Caenorhabditis elegans: one gene and its partner. The protein of the gene in region 1 purifies or fractionates together with the protein of each later gene. This does not show direct contact. Each region holds a gene or a part of one and is shown on either strand. Other genes may lie near its edges.

Evidence for each region. Proteins that work in one complex are often made in the same cells at the same time.
Region 2: the proteins of gst-38 (region 1) and C32E8.9 fractionate together in Caenorhabditis elegans (co-fractionation; one large-scale study listed by BioGRID). This does not show direct contact.

The regions. Positions count from the first base shown.
Region 1 is NC_003283.11:15,914,515-15,917,811, reverse strand, and holds gst-38 (glutathione transferase), read left to right. Parts: upstream 1-1,741; 5' UTR 1,742-1,875; coding exon 1,876-2,014; intron 2,015-2,071; coding exon 2,072-2,562; 3' UTR 2,563-2,650; downstream 2,651-3,297. Other genes in the region: F35E8.9 (ShKT domain-containing protein), read left to right, coding at 254-352, 406-667, 1,093-1,478; F35E8.7 (ShKT domain-containing protein), read right to left, coding at 2,670-3,184.
Region 2 is NC_003279.8:3,796,333-3,800,089, reverse strand, and holds the start of C32E8.9 (Ethylmalonyl-CoA decarboxylase), read left to right. Parts: upstream 1-2,021; 5' UTR 2,022-2,040; coding exon 2,041-2,055; intron 2,056-2,123; coding exon 2,124-2,294; intron 2,295-3,375; exon of another isoform or gene 3,376-3,405; coding exon of another isoform or gene 3,406-3,551; intron 3,552-3,605; coding exon of another isoform or gene 3,606-3,757. Other genes in the region: Phosphatidylinositol-binding clathrin assembly protein unc-11, read left to right, coding at 58-209, 737-885; C32E8.1 (RING-type domain-containing protein), read right to left, coding at 3,406-3,551, 3,606-3,757.

The DNA of each region.
Region 1 (3,297 bases):
CTTAGGAAGTTGCAGAATATCCAGGCCTCTGAAATTGTACCAGCTCTTTTTGAAATTTTGAAACAGATTTATGATCGGTTAATCTGTTCAAATAGGTTCAACAAAAATGGCTACATTGTATAAAAGGAATTTAATAGAAGCAGTTGTGCAAAGCTACCCGGATTACTATAAAATAAGAAGCCAAATCACAGAAGCTTTACTTTTCGGCTCTCGTCTTAGTCACTCGGAGAAGCTCAACTAAGCCTGTAGAACAATGATTGCTCTGGTTTCGTTCATTCTTGCATTCCTGGCTCCACAGGCTAGCGCTGTTATCGGAGGAGATCTTAACTGCACAACCTACAATGGAACTGCTGTAAGTTACGCTGATCTCTTACTTTAGTGTTAATTGTATTCCATGATTTTCAGTTTGTCTGGACTACAGCCGCCACTGCATGCAGCAATGTGATCTCCGATTCATCCTGCGCAGTTTTGTACCCAAACCCAGTTCCAGCTGATGGATACCCATCACCAGGCAGGGACCAGCAGAGACCATTGGCTTGTTATACTACTGCTACGGCTACTCCAGCTGCTGTAGTTCAAGACATGAAGACTGCAGCTCAGAGCACATGCCCAAGAACTTGCGGATTATGTTGTCAAACTAGTGCTTACAGTTGCCCAAATGTTGCCTGTGAGTTGAAAAGACATTCTAACAAATTGAGGTATTTTTCTGGCGCAAATATTCGCCTAGAAACATCAAGATTGGTGTGGAAATAGTTCAGTATGTCGTGGTGGCCGATAGCAGTCATAAAATCAGAAGTTCAAGTCCATTCTCCCCTTATAGGTTCACCCATGCTCAATTGAGATGTGGATCAATCTGGAATATCAGCCCAGTGAAAGCTCCAACAGCATGGCGCTCAAGGAACTGATATTCCTCTAAACCAGATCTGACCGCTCTAGTAAATAATGTTAAACAACTTCAAACGACAGTTGAGCCTAGATGCTACCCATTCTTTTGAACCTCTGTAGTGATTAAGTGTCATGTAATAGAAATTTGGCTTATAATGCTGAGGAGACATGAGCGGCCCATATTTTACTGTATCGCGTAATCTTCAGACCCCCGTCTCAACTGTGCCTCGATCACCGCCTCTCAATGCATCTCCCCAGCCTGGAGAACAATCATAGCCACGGACTGCCCATCTGCCTGCGGATTCTGCAACCAAGGAGGATGTGTGGATGCCGTTCCTGACTGCTCCAATGACATCACCATTTGCAATGCCATCGGCCTTCAGACTTTCGTGAACGCCAACTGTCAGAGAACTTGCAATAGATGTGCCTCGTCAACAACTACTCTTTCTTCATCTTCCTTGACCTGCTCCTCATACATCGCCGACTCGAGCACTGCATGCAGAGCCTGGTCTCTGAACGGATTCTGCACCAACACCTTCTACACCCTCGCGCAAAGAAGATCATACTGCGCCTCCACTTGCAGAATCTGCTAGTCTCATTCTCTTCAAGACATAACACAACGGGCTGACGACCATATCATCAACGACGATTTTTTAGGAACTGTACTTTATCTGTGTCTGACCAACACGTGTGAATGAAGTTTCAACTGGAAAATTTGTTTGAAACACTGCAAAGAATTTCGAATTTTGATGATAATTTTAAATGCCATTATCAGTTTTAATACGCCACTCTAGTCTTTGATTCTTTGCACACACACACACACACACACACACACACACACACTCACAAACACGCCTGAAATTTCGCAATATGCTGATTTAACGAGAAAACATTTGATGACAATAAACTTGGCGTATTAATATAAAAGGGAAAATTCAATTCAGATTCTCAACGGTTTATTTTCTGTCACAACTCTTCCTAATATTCACCATGGTTTCCTACAAGCTTACCTACTTCGATGGACGCGGAGCCGGAGAGCTCTGCCGTCAAATCTTTGCTGCCGCCGAGCAGAAATATGAAGATAACAGACTTACCGATGAGGAGTGGGAGAAGTTCAAAGCGGCCGGAAGTGAGTTTCCTTTTCTTCTTAATATTATGTGCAAAATATTAATTGTGTGGTTTCCAGAAACCCCATACAACCAGCTTCCAATGCTCGAGGTAGATGGCAAACCACTCGCTCAGTCCCACGCGATGGCTCGTTATCTTGCTCGGGAATTCGGGTTCAACGGAAAGAGCAGATGGGAAGAAGCTCAAGTCAACTCCTTGGCCGACCAGTACAAAGACTATTACGCGGAGGCTCGTCCATACCTCGCTGTGAAGCTTGGTTACACAGAAGGAGACGCGGAGGCTCTTTACACAAGCGTCTATCTTCCAGTTTTCAAGAAACACTATGGATTCTTTGTCAATGCTTTGAAGGCCAGCGGGTCAGGATTCTTGGTTGGAAATTCCTTGACTTTTATTGATTTGCTTGTTGCTCAGCATTCAGCTGATTTGCTGGGACGTGAAAAGTCGGATCTTTTCAATGATGTCCCAGAGATGAAGGCACATTCCGAAAAAGTTCAGTCAATTCCTCAGATCAAGAAATGGATTGAGACTCGTCCAGCGAGTGACTGGTAATTGTTTGGTCACTTAAATAAACTTTGTTATTTCCAATTTATTTTATTTGGGGAAAACTGATTGTGAGAATAAATTTTATTTAATAAAACTGTGCAACATGGAAAAAGTTAACAGATTTTGCAAGTAGTCGCACAGGCAGCTCTTTTTTCTGCCGTGGTGTATTGGTTGCTTGTACAGAATCCACTTCGAGCATACTCGCCGCATCTTGTTCGGCCGTCGGGAATGTAGGAAGTGCAGGCGGCTGCTGTGGTTGTGGCTGCTGCTGCTGCGACGGTAGTAGTGGTAACTGCAGCAGTAGTGGTCACGGCAGCGGGGGCCGCAGTAGTTGTAACAACAGCGGGAGCCACGGTAGTTGTAGGTGCCGCCGGAGCCGCGGTAGATGTTGTCGCAGTGGGACCCGACGTACATCTTTTACACGTCTTTCTGCAATTGGCATTGACAAAGTCTTGCAATTTGACTGCATTACAGATTTCTATGTTGTTGGCACATCCTTCAATTGCATCGACACATGAATCTGCACTGCACAATCCACACGTAGCTGGACATTCCATAGCTATAATTGCCTTCCATGCTGGATCAGTGCATTGGATAGGTTTGATTGTAGAACAATTGACACTTGGCACTGAAATATAGGAAGTAACGACTTCAAAACGTCAGTGGTAAATTTTTGTTTTTTTCTGGGTTGTCGCAAATCAAATGAAATAAGTACAAAAATTTTAAAAGAAAACACCTCGG
Region 2 (3,757 bases), on another chromosome or scaffold:
TACAAAATTTCACAATTTCTAAAGAAAATCGAAAAATCTTGCCTAAAAATATCTTAGTTACAGAGCACCGGCCGGCTGGAATACCACAACTTCTGCCGTCTCAAACAATCCGTTTGGAGCAACGTCGGCTCCTCAGCCAATGTATACGGCTCCAATGGGAATGTATCAACAACCATTTGGTGCTCAGCCAATGTGGAATCCTGCGATGGGTTAGTTTATCGAAAAAACGAGGAATTTTTTTAAAATTAGAATCTCGGAACAATTGAATTTTTATCTAATTTTTCACAATATTTCAAGATTATTTTAAATGTGAAAATCGATTTTGAAGCATTTTTTGTTAATTTTTGCTTCATTTTCGAAATATGCTCATACACCTATTTTATACTAAAATATAAAATTTAAACCTCTGGAAAAAATTCAGTTTTATTTAAAATCGAAAAATCGGTGGAACATTTCATATTCCAGCAATTTTTGGATAAGCGGAAAAATAATTTTGGACAAAAAATAGCAAAACATTTTTGGGTTGGATTTCGGGCCAAAAAACCAACAAAAAAAATTTATACTTAAATTTATTAAAAAACCGCGAGAAAGTGAGCAGTTTTTGGTTTATTTTTTGGTCTAAATAATACCAAACAAAAACAAAAAAGCCCCACGCCTAGAATAGGAATTCAACCATTTTGTGGGCGTGTCTGGCACTATATTTCGGTAGATTTTCAAAATCTTATTTTTTTTGCAGCAGCATACGGTCAACAATATGGATACGGACAACCTGTTCCACCACAACAGCAACACCAAATTCAATTGGTTCATGCAGCGATGGCTGCAAAGAACGCTGCACAAGCTCAACAGGCCCAGGCCGCCTCAGCCGATCCATTTGGATTATAGTCTAGTCGTCTATTTCTCTCTATCTCTCTCGTAACATTCCCTGATTTATTTTTTTTTAATGTAAAAACAAAATGATAGCCTATTTCTATTTCTTGATATCCCCCAAGATTCTCCAATTTTAGAATTTCCAGTAGATTGTGCAAAACTAATCAAATAGCGAAATCCAGGTGCCACTCCAATTTGAAATCACTTAGTATTCCTTTTTAACCTTTTTTTTTCAAAATTTTTGAATAGTCAAAGTATATTGCAATCAAATGTGTCGTTTTTTTGCATTGAAAAATTCGGAAAAATCGATTTTTTTTCTCGATTTTTCAATTACCCCAAAATACCGAAAAATCAGAATTTTTCGACGTCACCCTTGATTAGAATATATATTCCAGTAAATTGCCTTTTTCTTCGGTCGAATTGTCATAATTTTTCATGCTCTCTAGATACAATGTACCCCCCAAAATTCTTCAGATTCGGCCAAATTTTCGTCAGATCAGTGATGTTTTCCCCCTATCTCTATCTCTGCGTCTTCCAGTCTCTAGCGGCATTTTTTGTTTCATTCTTTCCACCCAAAAATTTATTTTGCAAAACGCACGCTTCTGTGTCCTATTTAATTATTTGAATTTTATATATTTATTTATTGACTCCCCCTCCCCCCCCCGGCTCTCCCATTTTAAGCGCTCGTGTTTCATAGCAATAAATTAAATTATTTTCCATCCTTCCTTTTTTTAGATTTTGAAATTTTGCAACTTTATCTCTATTGCCAAGAAGCGATGATAGATTGATTTTTCAATTGATGCAATAAATATTCGTAGATTCCTCGATTCACGTCATACTTTTTTGTTGTAAAATCTACCGCCAGACACGCCCACAAAATGGTTCATAGCCCCGCCTATTTTAGGGGCGGGGTCTTTGTTGTACGGTTTTTTGTACAAAAATTGTAGGAAAATGAAATTTTGCACCGGTTTTTTGGATTCTAAAACTGTCAAGAAAACTATTGAATTTCTTGTTTTTCCGCCAATACCTAATGAGACCCTGCGTTTGGTGGCGGGGCTTCGACTTGTGACTCAAAAATAGGGAAAATATATTCTTATTCTTCTCACTAACCGCTTATAACCTAAAAATAAAAAGATTTTTCTAATTTTTCAGGGCAACTGAGCGACAAAAATGTCTGGAAAAGTGGTATGTTCTTCGAAATTTGAATATTGCGTGATTCACGACTATGTGCCTTTAGAATTGAATTTTTTCAGGTTAGACCATCCGCAGCACTGCTGGAAGTCTTTAAATCATGGCAAGGCGGTGCGATTCGAGTTCAGCGAAACGAGAAGCTGAAAACAAGACTTGACGTAATTCTGGACCGCCCGGAAAAGAATAATTGTTTGTCTGGAGAAATGATGAAGCAGTTTGGAGAGCACACTGAGGCAAGTTTTTGAATTTGCGCGTGAAATTTGATGCATTAGAGGTAGAGACCGAGCAAAACAGTGTGCGCCTTTAAGAAGTGCAGCAACCGATTTCTCCAGCACTTTTTAATACTAAATGCTTGAGTATATTACTGGAACACAAAATTCCGAGAATGCGTATTGTACAACATATTTGACGCGCAAAATATCTCATAACGAAAACTACAGTAATTCTTCAAATGCACGTGGTGTCAGGCTGTCTCATAACTGTTTGATCTACAAGAAAAGTGGGAATTTTTTACCCCAAAAAATGTGACGTCAGCACGTTCTTAACCACTAGTTGAGAAGTCTGCATCTAAATTCTCGAAATTTTCGAGATCTACGTAGATCAAACCGAAATGGGACACTCTCACACCACGTGTAAATGACATGACTACTGTAGGGCTTGTGTCGATTTACGAGCTCTTTTTACAAAATGAATTTAAATTATTTATTTATCGATTGAATAATAAATTTGAGAAAAAACTAGCAAATATTACGAGGAAACAGATGAGAATGGAATATCGATGTCTTAAAGAAATTCATTTCGAAAATCAAGTCCGTAAATCGACACAATGGCAGCAGTAGTCATTTAAAGAATTACTGTAGTTTTCGCTAAGAGATATGTTGCGCAATGCGCATTCTCAGAATTTTGTGTTCCCGTAATAGAAAAAATTTGAAACAATATGGTAAATTATTATCACGGAATTCTGGCTTCCCTCATAAATCGAAATGGCAGAGTTTGCCGAACTAGGCCATTTTGGGTCGAAGAGATTTTATGTAGATTTACGGCGCGTTGCGTGTCGCGTCGCGGCTCGTTTTTAGTTGTAAAATTGATGTATTTGCCCGTGTGGAGTACACGGCACTTTTCCACACGTTGTCCGGCAGGCGATTGTCAATGGAGCGCGAAAATTCAATGATAAAGGCCAGAACCCCGTGATTACTGTACTAATTTAATTGTCACGCATGTTTTTACGCAGGCTGAACTTGAAATTATTGTGATACCGGTTACTGTAGTTTTGCGCGAAGACCTTAAGAATCTCAGAATCAGAATCAATCTACACAGTATTTTTCAAATCATTTATTCGAATTTCTACTGATTTATGAGAGAAAAATTCTTGGGCAGATTCTCGATCGTCTTGTTATTGAACTTGTACACTTTTCTATCGAATGGACAACGGATCATCTTGTTTTGGATAATATTTCCAGCGCATTCGGTGCAAATTGTGTGGCCACACGCTGAATATGATAAGAATAATATCATTATTTTATGAGTTGCATTGGCAGACTTACGCAGAACACGAGGCACGGTCATTCCAGAATCCCCATATTGTACTGCACAAATCTCACATTCAATCGGAAGAGTTTTGAGATCGGAAATCGCCTTTTTCAGGAAGTCCGTCACACGTTTTTCCTTCTCAAGAGCCTCCTTCGTTTCCACAAAA